4 linked regions of the Mus musculus genome follow. The protein of the gene in region 1 interacts with the protein of each later gene in a pairwise test. Links are inferred from orthologs where the notes say so. Each region holds a gene or a part of one and is shown in the gene's direction. Other genes may lie near its edges.

The links.
Region 2: the proteins of Creb1 (region 1) and Tssk4 interact in binary tests that used the Homo sapiens proteins (3 or more experiments, as listed by UniProt). The link is inferred for Mus musculus from reciprocal best matches to the Homo sapiens genes CREB1 and TSSK4.
Region 3: the proteins of Creb1 (region 1) and Crtc1 interact in binary tests that used the Homo sapiens proteins (3 or more experiments, as listed by UniProt). The link is inferred for Mus musculus from reciprocal best matches to the Homo sapiens genes CREB1 and CRTC1.
Region 4: the proteins of Creb1 (region 1) and Pogz interact in a two-hybrid assay, tested with the Homo sapiens proteins (2 studies listed by BioGRID and IntAct). The link is inferred for Mus musculus from reciprocal best matches to the Homo sapiens genes CREB1 and POGZ.

What each region holds. Positions count from the first base shown.
Region 1 is NC_000067.6:64,531,441-64,535,631, forward strand, and holds the start of Creb1 (cyclic AMP-responsive element-binding protein 1), read left to right. Parts: upstream 1-1,363; 5' UTR 1,364-1,580; intron 1,581-4,191.
Region 2 is NC_000080.6:55,648,756-55,653,040, forward strand, and holds Tssk4 (testis-specific serine/threonine-protein kinase 4), read left to right. Parts: upstream 1-1,428; 5' UTR 1,429-1,593; coding exon 1,594-1,818; intron 1,819-2,143; exon of another isoform or gene 2,144-2,145; coding exon 2,146-2,360; intron 2,361-2,459; exon of another isoform or gene 2,460-2,596; coding exon of another isoform or gene 2,597-2,703; coding exon 2,704-3,097; intron 3,098-3,363; coding exon of another isoform or gene 3,364-3,408; exon of another isoform or gene 3,409-3,510; coding exon 3,511-3,693; 3' UTR 3,694-3,784; downstream 3,785-4,285. UniProt on the Homo sapiens protein: Serine/threonine kinase which is involved in male germ cell development and in mature sperm function. May be involved in the Cre/Creb signaling pathway. Phosphorylates CREB1 on 'Ser-133' in vitro and can stimulate Cre/Creb pathway in cells.
Region 3 is NC_000074.6:70,391,055-70,394,614, reverse strand, and holds part of Crtc1 (CREB-regulated transcription coactivator 1), read left to right. Parts: exon of another isoform or gene 1-928; intron 929-1,559; coding exon 1,560-1,693; intron 1,694-2,451; coding exon 2,452-2,754; intron 2,755-3,311; coding exon 3,312-3,413; intron 3,414-3,560. UniProt on the Homo sapiens protein: Transcriptional coactivator for CREB1 which activates transcription through both consensus and variant cAMP response element (CRE) sites.
Region 4 is NC_000069.6:94,836,019-94,840,270, forward strand, and holds the start of Pogz (pogo transposable element with ZNF domain), read left to right. Parts: upstream 1-1,418; 5' UTR 1,419-1,722; intron 1,723-4,252. UniProt on the Homo sapiens protein: Plays a role in mitotic cell cycle progression and is involved in kinetochore assembly and mitotic sister chromatid cohesion.

The sequences.
Region 1 (4,191 bases):
GAGTAGGGTTAAAAGGAAAACTGGCAAGTGAAGAGGGGAGAGAGTGTTTGGAAGAGTCAAACAGCATCAAATGCTAGGATGGTCTTGAAAATGCAAGATGCAAAACTACATAGACAGGAAGACTGTGACAATTCAGAGCCACTGCAAATGGAGAGAGACAGTAAAAGACAGGTGGAACTCGGAAAGGAGCTTAAGGAGGAAGTTTCTATATTTTATTTATTGCCCACACATACTACTGTGATGTAAGTGCTGAGGTCAAAGGACAACTTATGGGAGCTGGTTCTCTCCTTCTACCACGTGGGTTCTCGAAATTGACCTTAGATTATCTGGCTTGGTGGCAAGGGCCTTTATTCATCTCACCAATGCCACAAGAGTCTTCTTAAAGAGAGGAAGAGACGTTAGCATGCTAAAAGTTCTGGTTAGAAACAAAAGAAAATTAAGCTACTCTTCAGTATAATGTCCTTGGGAAAGCGGGAACGGCTAGGACACACGGAATGAAGGCAAGCTCAGTGTTATAAAACGTCAACAAGGGCTGGCGTCCAGCAGGAACAAAACTATAGGAAGAGGGCTGAACGGCACAACAACAAAAGGTGAAGAACTGGCGGTTAGGGGCAACTCAGAGAGCAGTTGCGGTAGCTTTGAGGCTACGGAAGTCACACTGTCAAGTTCTGGGGTGCAAACGGTGGAAGCCACGCCGCAGCAGCGTGCCACCGCTGCAGAAAGGGCTGAGAAAAGTCAGCACAGGATGTCGCGGGCAGGTAGGGTGGGGATCTGTTTCAAGTGTTGAGAGCAGCATGGCTGATCATTTCTCCAGCCTCAGAGGGAGGACGGTACCCAGTACCTAGGGGCTCTGGCTGGCCGCAAAGCGGAGCTGAATCCCCACATGCCACCTGTGCCATAGCTTTCTTCCCAGCAAAGAACCAGCTCCGGCCCGGCAGACTCCCCTGGCCGGTAGCCGGCGTCTCCAACCTTCCAGCGCCGTCCGCGCGGCTCTGGGCCCTCGCGGCGCGTCAAAGTTCCCGGGCGGTCTGCTTCCGCCGCAGGATCAGACCGCGCGGGGGTTTCCAGCAAGTCCCCGCCACCCCGGGAATCCCCACACCACCCCAAATCTGGCTACACACAAACCCCGCTTCCTCCAAATCTCCTCAGCTGGCGTCCGAAGCCTCCACCCGCCACAGTGAGGCTCGGATCGTGCCTCCAGAGCGGGTCTCAAACCGCCTACACCAGCTTCCCCGGTCAACCCCTTCGCAGCGCCGGGAAGTAGCCGAAGGCCTTCGGCAGGTTCCGCCAGTAGCGCGGGGGCGGGGCCTGTCGAGCGGCTCCGGGTCGAGCTCGGCTGTTTCCGTGAGTGGCCGCTGCGCACTCGGCACTGGGCGGCGCTGGCTGGCTCCCTGGCTGCGGCTCCTCAGTCGGCGGCGGCTGCTGCTGCCTGTGGCCCGGGCGGCTGGGAGAAGCGGAGTGTTGGTGAGTGACGCGGCGGAGGTGTAGTTTGACGCGGTGTGTTACGTGGGGGAGAGAATAAAACTCCAGCGAGATCCGGGCCGCGAACGAAAGCAGTGACGGAGGAGCTTGTACCACCGGTAAGAGGAGCAGGAGGAGGAGGCAGGAGCCGGAGAGAGCCGGGGGGACAGAGGGGGGCCGGGGAGGCGCCGGACACCCGCGCTCGGGGCCTTCCCCTCGCAGGAGGGGCCGCGGTAAAGATGGAGCCTCCGCCCGAGCCCCACAACACCGCCGCCGCTCGCAGCGAACAAAGAATAATGGCGGCGGACTGGAGCCAGCGGCGGCCGGGCGGCAGCGACTCTGCCTGCAGCCAGCGGCGGCGCTCATGGCGGGGGGCGGCCGGGCCGGGGCGGGGTGCGAGCGAGCGGGCGGCCGGCCGCGGCAAGCTGGCGCCCGCGTTCCCGCCGCCGGGCCGGGCCGGGCCCGGCCGTGCCGGGCGCGGAGCCGGAGCCGGCGCGGAGCGGAGCCGCCCCGGGGGAGGCCGCCCGCCGCCGCCCCCCGTTCCTCGCCGCCGCCGCCCGCCTGCTCGCACGCTCGCTCGCCCCGGCTGTGCCGGGCTGGCCGCCCGGGCCGCCGCCTGGGTGCCCGTGGGGGGTGGAGGAGGAGGAAGAAGAAGGAGACAGTTGAGGGCAGAGGAGGTGAAGGTGCTGCCGCCTTCGCGGCGGTGCCCGCTCGGCGAGCCGCAACGTCCGACCTGCTTTCCTCTACAGCGCTCTTTGTGCAATAAAGTTCGAAACCCAAGGTTTTCTCTGGTGCTGTATTTTATTCTTGCCCCTCTCCCCGGCTCCCACGCGGTCGGAGAAAATGCTGTTTTCTGCCCTAGGCTGTTTTAAGGGTTTGGGGTTTTTTGTTTTTGTTTTGTTTGGTTTGTTTTTGTTTTTTGTTTTTTTTTTACTATTTCCCTCACCCCTCGGCTTTGAAGATGAAGAACGAATCAGTAGTCCTGGGAATGCATTCTTTTGGGAAGGAAAGAGGTGCTAAGAAAACATACATGTAATAACTTTTTGCAGAAACTGTTGGGATCTTGTAAAAGGGAAGCTGGTGCTTGAAAACAGTTTCGGTTTTAACCCTTTCCACTAAGATAATGATCACTTGAGGTCAATCATTCTGAAACCCTTAGAAATTATCGAAGGGGAAATTAGTATTAGCGAAGGTACTTTTCGTTTTCTGTCATTTGAAGGGAGGCAGTCTTGCCAAGGTTTTTTGAGTCATCCGTATCTCCCCTTAGCCTCTGCCATGCTCCTCACACGCTTCTGTCTGAACTTTAATGGAGGATTGATATAATTCTCACTCTAAAAATAGTTATTGAAACTATCCATTATTTGTATATTGCCGTAGGTAATCCCAGCCTGAGGTTGATGGCAGTTTAAGCCAGCAGGGGTTGTGGTGTTCCTTTTTTTCCTTCACCTAGAACATCTGCAAAGGGGACTGTCAAAAGTCATTGACACCTTAAAGATCCAAAGACATTTTTAAAGGGCATTGCAGTATGACCTATTTAAACCTGCCATATCTTCTCAAAGTTAAGAGTTTGATCCTAGCCTCAGTTTTGCACCACATCTGCCTTCAAAAGATCTAGCACAAAATACCTTTGGGCCATCTATTGAAATCTTGTGCCCTGATGATCATTTCCCAATTGAAAAGCAAAGCCCAAAATTTTAGTTGATTTGAAAGGTGCACAGTTTTTTATATATTTGGGGGGGGGGGTTGCTTGTTTCTTTTACAATACAACCAGTTACTGTACCATTGAATTGTGATTGGTCCATACAAGGCTTTTGGTTAGGAATAAATATTGATTGGTAATAGAACCATTGTGTTTGATTTTTTTTCTATGCGTCAGGACTCTGAAACTTGACAAGTTACATTGCTAGTCTTTAGCACTCCAATTTGCAATTGTTAAGAAAATTAAGATGCAATAGAAGGAGTTGTTTCCATAGGGTTGAGAAGATGATTTTGTTTCCACACAGTGAAGACTCTATACATGGTAATGTTGATGATAAAATAGTTTTTTCAAAAGATTTTCTACAAGCCAATAGTGATGATACATGAGGATGATTCTTCCCCTGTGAGAATAAAAAAAAATTCCTATGTGTCCTTTCTTCAGTGTTGACCAAAAGATACTTTAGGTTTTATTTATGGGATCTTTTATGGAGAATCAAATTGATTCTCAGCAATTGCAAGTGAAACTTGGAACACTTTTTGTGTGCATTAATTTTCAAGCATTCACCTGGAACCTGACAATAAATTACAGTTCTCTCTTGCAGAGGTCAGTGAAAGTTCTAGCACGGTGTGCTTCCCTCCTCTTCCTCCTTCCTCTCCTTTAGTTGTTTATTTTTGATGGACCTATGTATTTTAGAAAGCTAATGAATTATTTACAAAAACTTACCTAATGAATACTAAGTGAGCATTCCTTTGGAATTTAAAACTAGTGTTAAACACTTTTGAACAGAATTTCACACAAGGGCCTGAAGAAACAGACCATAATATTCTTTTTTCCTACCCTCAGATACTCATAGGGATTTTAGTTTTCTTAGAGAAGTAGTTTTGTCACTTGTAAAGCCCTTGGGTTTGTTTTTTTAAATCTCATATGCCTTTTTTAAAACAATAGAGAACATTGTTTACTTGTGACAGTGCTTATACGATATAAAATGTTTATTACAAATACGTTAGCAGATACAGCCATATAAACTCACC
Region 2 (4,285 bases), on another chromosome or scaffold:
TTCCAGTTCATTGGGAAGGCTATAAGGAAGTGTGACGGGAAAACACCCAATGTCCTGCTCTGGCCTCTGCATGCGTGGGCACACGTGTCCACACATAAATGCATCAACTGTAGGGGAGCAACAGGCTTGCAAGTGACCAGTTATTTGATAGAGGGTTGTGCTAAGTGGGAATGGCAGTGGGCACAGAGATGTGAATGCATTGTTTTTATATGTATGGTGTATGGGCAATTGTGAGTATAAGAACATGCACCTGTATTCATATGGAAGCTAAAGGAGGACATCAGATGTCTTCCATCACTCTTTGCTTTGTTCCTTTGGGTCAGGGTCTTACTGAACATGAAGTTGGCATTTCTGGAGTAGGTGAGAAAGTCAGCAAACTCCAGTGATGCTCTTGTGTCCACCTTACTCAGGGTTGGGGCTGCACCTGGCTTTTTTGTAGATGCTGGGACTGAACCCAGTCTTTGTGTTTGAACAGCAAGATCTCTTAACTGCTGAGTGATCTCTCTCTAGACCCTTCAAGGGCTTTATGAATGAAAAATAGGTTAAAGAGACAGGATTTGATGATACCACACATTGGATGTAGGCACCAAGGCTGACAGTGCTGGTATGATATTTGATGTCTATGTTCAGGACAACATGGAAGTCTTAGAGTAGGAAATAGTTCTGTTTGGGATATGAATTTGAGGTGTAGAGAGAAGATATGTTCCTGTAATATTGAGTAAGCAAATAGGCACGATCTTGAACTCCAGTATCTGGGGGTGAAATCTGCACAAGGAGCCATCAGAATAAACGTGAAATCTGGAGCTTTGAGAGTGTGTGAGAGCCCTAGGGGAGGATGTGAGAGTCTGAGAAAAGTAAGCTTGAGATTGCCCCATAGACGGAGGGACTGGGGAGATGTGGGTTGATGGTAGAGTGCTGGCCTTGAATACACAGGACCTAGGCTTAATCAACAGTGAAAACAAGACAAAATTGAAAACTGGAAACTGATGCTGCTCCAGTGGATGAGTGACTAAATGGATGGGAAAACCCAGGAGCATCCCGTGTAAAGCAAGAACACAGGTCAAGACTGAATGCAGACTGTGCTTCAACACCGCAGTCCTGTATACACCCTGACATGTTTCTCACGCTGGATTATAGAAGCATGGGTACTCTGGGGACATTGTTCATTAGTTTAACATAGTATATTCTGCATATTATATGCCACATGGCAGATACTCAGTAACATAGAGGAGCCACAGAGGGAACTTACCAGGTTGTGTAAAGTGCCTTTTGTAATGAATGTGTTCCGAACTGCACTTCATTTCAAGCTTTGTGGCCAATGATGAATAAAGGTGTATGGAACTTGGGACCTTGGAAGTTCTGTAACCAAGATATGGAAGTAACAACAGCCAGCCAAGACAAAAAGAATGTTCTTTTCTTTCCCCTTCCAAGTTCTTAGTGAAGGGCCGAGCCCAGCATCCCAGCCTTGTGTGACTTGGTAAACACTGGGACCCTAACTTCACTTCAGTACCCTCCCTTCAGGAGCTCAAGGTGGCTTCTCCGTAGACAGAGGCTTCTAAGTATCAAAGCTCCCCACTGCGCAAGCCCAACATCATGGGGAAGGGAGACACCTCGGAAACAGCATCAGCCACCCCAGCCTATCGCTCTGTCATGGAGGAGTATGGTTATGAGGTGGGCAAGATCATTGGCCATGGCTCCTATGGAACTGTCTATGAGGCATACTACACAAAGCAGAAGGTCATGGTGGCTGTCAAGATCATCTCGAAGAAGAAGGCCTCTGAAGACTATCTCAACAAGTTCCTACCACGTGAGATACAGGTCAGAAAGGGAGCTGAAAGAAGGAACTTAGGCTTATTAATAAGCTACTTGAGGTATCTTAGGGGTATAACTATGAAAGGGTGGCTCCAGAAACCTCCAAACCAGAACTTAGGAAACTTCTGTAACTTATATATATATATATATCCTCTTTCCTATGTGCAAATATTCAGCTCACTATCCAATGTCCCCTCAAGTAAAAATGCAAAATGGGATTTACCCAGACACCAACAGATTCTGTTTCGAAGTAGTAAGTAGCAATGGGAGAGTGGAGAAAGGCCAGCACGGTGGGAGTTTGCCAGGTTTGATGGTTCCCTCTTTTGGAATCAGGTAATGAAAGTCCTACGGCACAAGTACCTCATCAACTTCTATCAGGCCATTGAGACCACATCCCGAGTATACATCATTTTGGAGCTGGCTCAGGGCGGTGATGTCCTCGAATGGATCCAACGATATGGGGCCTGTGCTGAGACCCTTGCTGGCAAGTGGTTCTCCCAGATGGCTTTGGGCATCGCCTACCTGCACAGCAAGGGCATCGTGCACCGGTGAGGATAGTCACCGGACTGGGCTTTGGGAATCTTAAGGGAGTTTTATGCATATTGCCCATTTTCTGTCCTTTTCTCTTGACTTCTCTCAATATCTAGGTCCATTTGTTCACCATATTGTAATCATCTGGTCAAGGACACTTGTATCCACTGTGTGAGAGCACTTTATACACAATGGTGAACTAGTGGTCCTCAGGTACCATCCTCTCTCCCTTTTGGGCTCTGCTCACAACTCCATGGCTTTGCTTCCCATAGACATCTCACTCCCACTTGTCCTGTCCTCATCTCTAGCCTCTGACCCCTTCTTTTCAGCTCCCGGTCTAATACTAAGCCCTCTCCCCAGCCTGACCCCCAGCCTTTCTGCTGCTGGTAGGGATTTAAAGTTGGAGAACCTGTTGCTGGACAAGCGGGAGAATGTGAAGATATCGGACTTTGGCTTCGCCAAGATGGTGCCTTCTAGCCAGCCTGTGCATAGTAGCCCTTCTTACCGCCAAATGAACAGCCTTTCCCACCTCAGCCAGACCTACTGTGGCAGCTTTGCTTACGCCTGCCCGGAGATCTTGCTAGGCTTGCCCTACAACCCTTTCCTGTCTGACACCTGGAGCATGGGCGTCATCCTCTACACTCTAGTGGTTGCACGGCTGCCCTTTGATGACACCAATCTCAAGAAGCTGCTGAGAGAAACCCAGAAGGAGGTCACTTTCCCAGCTAACTTGACCATCTCCCAGGAGTGCAAGGTGCTGGCTCCCCCAGGAGGGCTGAGGCCTTAGGGATGACCCATGGAGAGGGGAAAGGAAATACCAAATTTAGGCCTTCCAACTACATTCTTCCTCCCCCCAGGGTTGGCTTTTGTCATGCCAGAGCTCCTACTCAAAGTGGTGGCAAGGCTTTAAGAGGGTCAACCACTGAGCTTCAAACCTTAAATATGCTTGGTAATTAGGTCCCAGCAATGATCCCTTTAGGGCAAAAGGGATTATGCAAGAGCTCTTCTCTTTTTTTGCAGGGCTCCAGCATAAAACCAGGGCCCCAGCCCCTTTCACCAGAGTAGTGCGATGGGCCATCCTGCTTCTTCCTTAGGTCCAGCTGCTCAGTGCCTGTGCTCACAAAGTGGGGGCAAGCTCAGCCAAGCCCTCTCTCTCCCCTGCCCTAGAACCTGATCCTCCAGCTGCTACGCCAATCTACCAAGCGTGCCACCATCCTAGATGTCCTCAGGGACCCCTGGATGCTCAAGTTCCAGCCTGAGCAACCTTCGAATGAAATCAGGCTGCTCGAGGCCATGTACCAACCCACCAGCTCTGCTAAACGGCACCAGTCCTTGGAAATCACAACCTGAAAGTGGCTGAGGCAGGAGGCCAAGGAAAAAAGCAAGAAAGACTGGGGGGAAATCTTTTCTATAAAATAAACCTAATTAGTTTCACCACGTAGGGTCAAAGGCTTTCTTTCCTTGAGAGTCTTCGTGGAGACCACTGCGTAGGGGTAGATTTCTGCCCAGAGCCTGTAACCAGTACTCTTGACACCTGGGACAGTTAATGAAATTGACTTGGGGAAGCCTTACTGTGCCAACTGAGTTTGTGAGTTTGAGGCTCTTATTTCACATTTTTGTTCTCTAATGTTCTAGTGGCAGATGGGACGGGGGTGGGGTGGGGGATGAAGGTGGAGGGGGGTTAGTTTTGTGTTGACTTGGGCTCTGCCCATTTCCAGTTGAAAGCAATGGCATCATTCCATCTGTTCTGTGTTTGCTCCTAACTTGGGTAAAAGTTTTCACTGGAAAGCAGAGTTAACAAAAGGGAATGGGACGGTCTTGGCTTCTGGGTACCTTTTCTTTTCTCTCCAGTATCACGTTAACCACTACGGAAAGAATGGCAGTGATCCAGGGCTCCTTAAACCACAGCTCCTAGATACCAAAGGAACAGAGTTCAAGCCAA
Region 3 (3,560 bases), on another chromosome or scaffold:
GAGGCCTCCACTGTTAATATCTGATAGCTTGCGATACGGAAGCAGTGTCTTAGTAACTGGGAGGGGGGTGTCAGATGCAGGGCCCTCAGGGCTCCCCTGTCATCAGAGAGCCTGTTGCCTACTTGGTTTGGGGCCCAGGATGAGGCTGCAGGCCCCCACTCTGCCCAGTGCCCTGGATCTCACCCAGGTCCCTCATCACCTCAGCATTCGGGGATCAGATCCCTGGGGGCAGGCAGGGATTAGAGAAGGGGCCTGGCGGGTGCAGGCTTGTTACTTCAGGGCAGGGTGGTGAGGATTCTGGTTTCAGTTCAAGCAGACTTGGAAGGGGGTGCTGGGAAGGGGGGCTTCATCATCCTGAGGGTGCCAAAGAAGGATGTGGGTGAAGGGCACTAGGTCATCAAGAAATGCCTTGACAGGAAAGAACAAGCTTGGGGAACAACACGGGAGGGCCCTGGTGTTATAGAAACCCAACCTCCCATAGGATCGAGTTTCCCAAGCCAAGACAGAAAGGGAGATGGGCCATGATGGCACAGTCCTGAGATCTGTGCTGAGAAACAGGCTGGGCAATTGCTCTGACACCAGAGTCAGCCTGGGCTACCTAGTGAGTTCCAGGCTAGCCCTGTATGAAGTAATAATAACAGCTCAGTAGCTTGAAGCTCATCAGGGACAATGCTTATAGCTCAGTTGGCAGAGTGCTGCCTACCATGCACAAAGCCTTTGGATTTGAACCCTAGTACTGCAGAAACTACCTCATGCCTGTCACCTTCGGACTCAGGGCAGAGGCAGGAGACTCGAGAGTTCAAGGTCATCCTCGATTCATAGCCAGCTTGAGACAAGCACGAGCTACACGTAAACCTATCTCAAAAATATAAAATGGTGGTGCATCTGCTTAACCCCAGCACTTGGGAAGCAGAGGCAGGCAGATGTCTGTGAGTTTGAGACCAGCCTGGTCTACAGAGTGAGTTTGAGGAAAGCCAGGGCTACACAGAGAAACAAACAAACAAATTAATTAAATAAAAGGAGGTTGGATAGTTGGCTCAGAGATTAGGAGCAGTTGTTACTCTTGCAGAGGGCCCAGGTGGAGTTTCCAGCAGCCACATGGTGACTCACACTTCCAGGGGTGACAGTGCCTTCTTTTTTCATCCACAGTCACTAGGCACACACATAGTACACAGACACACATTCAGACAAAATGCTCTCATACTATATAATATATATGTTTTGTGTGTGTGTGTGTGTGTGTGTGTGTGTGCACACGCGCGCGCAGACATACCTACATATGCTCCACCAGGGAGGGCCCTGTCACTGAGAACTCTCTCTACCAACTGTGGGCAGCACTTCCTAGGATAATGTTCAAGATCCCAAGATGGGCTCTGATTGGTTACTTGGAAACAGTGTTGATTGGCTGGGGCCATGGGACATGCCCTTCTTAGACTACTAAAGTCCCTCCTCAGAGCCCCATCCCAGGTTTGACCACAGACAGCTTCTCTAGCGGGTTTCTGTCCTGGCAGCTGGGCTATGGTATGGCCACCTGTCCCTAGCCCCCTTTTCCTTTGTAGGTATGAACACCCCCAGCTCTTCTCCACAGCACCGGCCAGCAGTCGTCAGCCCCCTGTCCCTGAGCACAGAGGCCAGGCGGCAGCAGGCCCAGCAGGTGTCACCCACCCTGTCTCCGTTGTCACCCATCACTCAGGTGCGAGGGCGAGGTGGGTGGGAACACGGGTATCTACCAGCCCCTCCCCTTCCCCGGCCTGGTCTTTTTTTTAAAAAAACCAGTTTTATTTATGTATGTATTTATTTTTAATGTGTATGTGTGTTCTTGAGTGAATTTATGTACACCATGTGCATGCAGGTTCCCTTGGAGACAAGAGGTGTCAGGTCCCCTGGAACTGGAGTTAGAGGTGATTAAGAGCCACCATGTGGGTGTGGGATCTGAACCCAGGTCCTCTGCAAAAGCAGCCAGTGCTCTTAACGAGCCATCTCTCCAGCTCTGTTTGTAGCATTTATCAACAAAAGTTTGAACAGAAACTACACAAATCAGTGTTTTTGCAATGTGTATTTTATGATATTTCTGGTTTTGAGACAAGGCTTATGTAGCACTGAGTAGATGAAGATGACCTTGGACTCATCATTCTTCAGATCCCATCTCCCGTGTCACCGCTCCTGGCAAAACTAATGGTCTTGGAGTGGCCCAAGAGCCATCAGCAGGCATTGGAGTGACAGACACCCATTCTGCAGCTTAGGCTGGCCCCACACTTACAGTGACCTTCCTGCCTCAGCCCCCAAGTGTTGCATGACAGTGGTACCCCTGCCCAGGGTCTCTCCCTGTTTACTTCCTGTGTGAGATCCACCCTCAACAAGTTGGGCTCCCTTGCTCTAGGAGAACAGACTGTGGGGGTCAGACTGTGCTACCATGGGCCAGCGCCTCTTCCTCATCCTTGTCTTCTGCAGGCCGTGGCTATGGATGCCCTGTCCTTGGAGCAGCAGCTGCCCTATGCCTTCTTCACCCAGACTGGCTCCCAGCAGCCTCCCCCACAGCCCCAGCCACCGCCTCCACCTCCACCGGTATCCCAGCAGCAGCCACCACCTCCACAGGTGTCTGTGGGCCTCCCCCAGGGTGGTCCACTGCTGCCCAGTGCCAGCCTGACTCGGGGGCCCCAGCTGCCACCACTCTCAGTTACTGTACCATCCACTCTTCCCCAGTCCCCTACAGAGAACCCAGGCCAGTCACCAATGGGGATCGATGCCACTTCGGTAAGCCTAGGGGGGTTCCTGGGCCCTCAGTGTGTGTGTGTGTGTGTGTGTGTATTCATGAGTGGGTGGGTGTGTTCATGAGTGGGGTATGTGTATTCATGAATGATGTATACATATTCATGAGTGAGGTATGTGTGTTCATGAGTGGGTGTGTGTTCATGAGCGGGGGTTTGTTTATGACTAGGGTTGTGCGGGTGAGTGCCAATTGTATGTGTGTTCATGTACTGTGCTTTTAGGAGTGTGTGGATCACAGTCTTGATGTCCAGATCTGTCAGGGGTATGCAGGTGCATCCAGAGGGCACTGTGCCTGATGCCATCAGCTTTACACAGGGTCAGGCCTAGCGTCAGCCAGAGCCCTGCTGTGGCTTCCAGGTGGGCCCTGTAGTCCTCTGTGTGTGCTTGCCCTGAGAAGCCAGGTTTACAGTCACATCTCCACCTCAGATTCTCACAAGCCAGTGACTACCTGTGTGGCATCCATTATTGAGGGTCCAGGCATCCGGCTCAGGTCTGTTGGGCCAGTCAGGAGTCAGTAAAGCATGAACTGTCTGTCATCACAGGCACCAGCTCTGCAGTACCGCACGAGTGCAGGGTCACCTGCCACCCAGTCTCCCACCTCTCCGGTCTCCAACCAAGGCTTCTCCCCTGGAAGCTCCCCACAGGTAAGGCCCCTTCCCCTGGCCCTATGCCACGTTGTGTGTCCCATGTGCTCAGTGCTCCCCAGTGCTGTCCTCCATACCATGCCATCTGTCCTCCATCAGCCTGGGGTCATGCCCCCATCAGGCGGGCTCAGCGGTTCTCAGGACACC
Region 4 (4,252 bases), on another chromosome or scaffold:
TGTATCTCTCCACTGGAGTTGGAGGAACAGGCAGTTATGAGCAGAGTTCAGGGTGCTGGGAACTGAATTATGACCCAGAGGAGCAATGACAGCTCTTATCTACTGAGGCATCTCTACAGCCCCGGGACTTTATTACTGTATTCCTAGCACCAAGAACAGTGCCTGAAACATGAAAAATATACAATAAATATTGGATGAAATAATGGCGTATCAAATGTCTTCAGTAGGATGTGATTATGGTTGTTGTGGTCAACAAAACGTGGTGTAATTTGATGAGATATCTTTCGCTGGATGAAAGTAACTAGCTGGCAGTTTGGAGAATATATGCAAAGGAATAAGTATGGCTCTGGATCTACCCATTCCTGTACCAAGCAACTTTGTTTAGAACTTGGTTTGGAGCAAGTATCAATATATGGCTTAAAGATCATTCTCAAAAACCCAAGGGAAATACTGCATTTTATCATCTGAGGACATAATGAAGGACAAAACTTAGCTACCAGAAGTTAGTTTTTGTTTGTATGAAAAGTGGTAGATAATCTTGAATGGACTAATCAATTTACTTGAGCCAATCCAACGGGGCCATGGAATCTATGGTTTCTGAGATTGGAGATCTCTGCTGAGTCTATGCACAATGGTTTCAAAAGCAGTTCCCGCCGGTAGAATGACCTTAATAATCACGAGGTTTCTCCCCCAGAATCCAGAAGGGCTTGATGATAAAATAGGTTTTAAAAACAATTCTTTAGCTAGGTGTGGTGGTGATTCCTTTAGTTTTCAGTACCCAGGAAGCAGAGACTCGTAGATCTCTGAGTTTGAGACCAGCCTGCCCTATCTGGTGTGTTTCAGGACAGCTAGGGCTCTGTAGAAAGTCCCTGTTTCAAATAAACAAACAAACAAGCAGAAAAACAAAACAAAACCTCAAAACCAAAAAAGTATTTCATTTATACAAGGCACACTGTCACAGAAGGTTACTCAGACAAGTGTCTCTTAAGGTAGAGTGTTATCTTGCTTTTTGTTGCAACAACAGTTGTTGGTGCCATTGGGACTCACCATTTTGCTTGTGGCATGAAGTTTTTCTCTTGAATTGGTAATAAACCTTGAATAGAAAGTAGGGAGAGTGCAAATTTGTCTGGAAAGTCTAAGAAAGTATATTATGAGATATTTTCTTTGGTAGTGTCATTTTTCTCAGCAAAATTTGGAAACTGTTTGTGAAGCTAATTATTCTTTTCTCCATGAAAGCTTTTTCTTTATTTATTTATTTGCAGGCCCAGACAAACTTGACTAGAAAAGAAGCCCGGACAAGGGTTAGGATGAGCGATGACGTAGCGTACTAGCCAGCCAATTGAAAGAGCACGAGAAGGGGAGGGCGGAAGTGACGAGAGGTATCCCTCCGCGGGGCGAGAGGGTCGGTGGGGGGAGTCGGCGTTTCTCTCCCCCGCGCCAGCTCCCATACACGGAGCCACATTCCTTGGCCCCCCCACCCCCTCCCTCGGGGCCCCCCGCCCCCCTCGGGAAAAAAATCCACCCCAATCACTCGAACCCGAGGGAGGCTTCCTTTCACCCTCGGGGAGAGGAGCTTTCAACGGTTCCCTCTTCCCCGTCTCCCCCCCGAACCCCGGTCCCCTCCCCTGCTCCCACCCCCTACTCCCGGCGCCGGGTGCAAGGTCCCTTTAAGGCGACGGCACCTTCCTCGGGTCAGACTACCGGCGGCGACGACCACGGGAGGTGAGTGAGCGAGCGAACCCCGGCGCTCTCCACCCCCTTTTCCCGGGGGTTCCGTTATCTTTTCGCTGGGCCGAGGCGTTCCGAAACGAGACAATGAGAGGGGGATGGGGCGCGCGCGCGGGTTGGGGGAGGGGCCGAGCGCGCCCCCGCGGCCCCCGAGTGGCGGCCGCCCCACGGCAGCGCGCGCTGTGGNNCGCGCACGTGGTCTGCGGCGCACCCGGGCCACGGAGCCGCGCGCCCCGGCGACGGTGGCCCAGGCCCCGGGATGCCCCACTGCCCCCGCCCCCCTGGCGGTGCCGCGCGCGCTCGCGCCCCCACGGCCGCGCACCGCGGACGTCCACAGGCACGCCGGGCGCGAGCGTCCCGGAGGAGTGGGCGGCGCGGGCGGCGGCGGTCACCGGGGATGGGGGGGAGTTTGCAGAGGCGCGGGCACGCGGGGCCGCAGCTGCGGAGCGGTGGAGCCCGGGGTTCCCGCCGCCCCCACGCGCGGAGGCGTGAGCGCTGGTTTTGAGCGGGAGGAGGGAAGCGAGTGGCTGCCCCGCCGGTCCCCTGTGTTATGTAATCCCGCTCCGTCTGCGAGGACATCCCAAGCCTCTGCAGCTAGTTGAGGAAGTCTCCTCCCTCGGCCCCCAAATTTATGCATGGATGGCGCTGTGATTTACAAAATGGAATGGGGCAGAATCTATTTTCTGGTGATTATGTCCTGCCGCTGTAGGCGCCATATTTAGCCCAAGGACTATTTTCTTTAGATTTTTCAACACCTTCTGAAAAAGAGTAATGTCATCAAGCCACCTGCTTTCCCTTGTGTCTGCCTATGGTCCTGGTTTCCTCTCCTGAGTTGTGGAATTCTTGCAAAGGGTCAATACCACTGCACATTTCTCACTTATCTTAAGCCTTTAGTAAGAGAGCTGAGAGTCTTTTTGGCCTTTTCGTTCTCTAGGAAGACATGGAGATTGAATTGTAATGTCTTTTCAACAGTGCAGAGATAGCCTTTTCTCCACACCTGTTCACCTCCTTTTGTAGCGCAAAACGCCACAAAGATGAGGTTTTAAAAGCAGTTTCCCCAGATGAAGCGAGAAAGGAGTAAGGCAGCTGTTCCTCTTGGACGGTGACAAGGCAGTTGGACCCCGTCCGTGTTCTGGAAGGAGGAAATTGGGATGACTTCTTTATTGTCGTCATTCTTAACTTTAGGGTGCATTCAAGCATTTTGGAGGCTATTAAACGTGAAGTTTAAGGACTTTGTGCCTAAAAGGTTTTTTTTTTTTTTTTTTGGAGGGTGGGGTGGAGTGGAGGGCTAGTATCATCTTTATCTACACTGGGCAACTAAGATAATCAGTATATTAAAGAGTATTGCTAATGTGGGAAGGTGATCAAAATATAGTGTTAAAACAATTAGATTGTGCCCTCGATTTCTGTCCCCTTCCCTGTATTGTCAGGGTATGTCAAACGGAAATAAAAATAGAAAGGACTTGGAGGAGAACAGGTGGGCTTAAGAGTTGCCACTCCCATCTTGACTAGGTTCTAATCTAGGAAAGCAGTTTACCCATTGTGGTTAGCTGAGCCTGGAGTACACCTCAGCACCATTCAAGGGCGTCTTGAGACCTTAAGAATTATGAGTAAAGCTTTTTGTGTCTCCCATGACTTTTGCAGTGATGATGTGTAAAAGCAAGCCCCTGATTTCGGTGTGCTTACCTGAGAATGGCCTTGATGGAGCAATGGCAGCATGAAACTAGCATGAAATTGTTACGTTTCAGCTTTGGAATATATCTTTAGTTTTTAAGAATCTAATAAAACTGAAAGGCATGAATAAAGCATTTGTATTATCTATGGATGTATTTTTTTTAAGATTTATTTTTTATTTATTATATGTAAGTACACTGTAGCTGTCTTCAAACACTCCAGAAGAGGGAGTCAGATCTCATTACAGATGGTTGTGAGCCACCATGTGTTGCTGGGATTTGAACTCAGGACCTTCGGAAGAGCAGTCAGTGTTCTTAAACGCTGAGCCATCTCTCCAGGCCCATATGGATGTATTTTTAAAGTTTTTCATGCATTTTAATTGTTTCCTTATGACATTTTTGTATGTGTACACAATGTATTTTTATCATAGTAACAGCACATTACTCTCTTGTCACCTTCCCACTCCTGCTGATCCCCTCCCCCAAGTTCTCTCCTACTTGCATATCTTGGCCATGGGTGTGGGGGACCTAGTGAGTTTAATTAGTGTTGCTTACAGGAACAAGGGCAACTTAACATGAAGACACTATCTCTTCTTACCCTGGCAGCCATTAACTGACTATATATTCCTTTCATGTTGGCGTGCTGGCATAGTCTTGAGCAGGTTTATGCAGACAGTCCCAGTTGCTATGAGTTCAAGAGGGCATGCCAGTGTTCCACAGCACTCTCAGGTGTTCTTCAGCTCTTAGCATTCTTTTGCACCTCTCTGTGATGCTCTCTGAACCTAGAGTGGGCCATAGAGATGTTCCATGTAGAACTGAGCATTCTTCTACAGCATCTTAGTTAGCCCTTT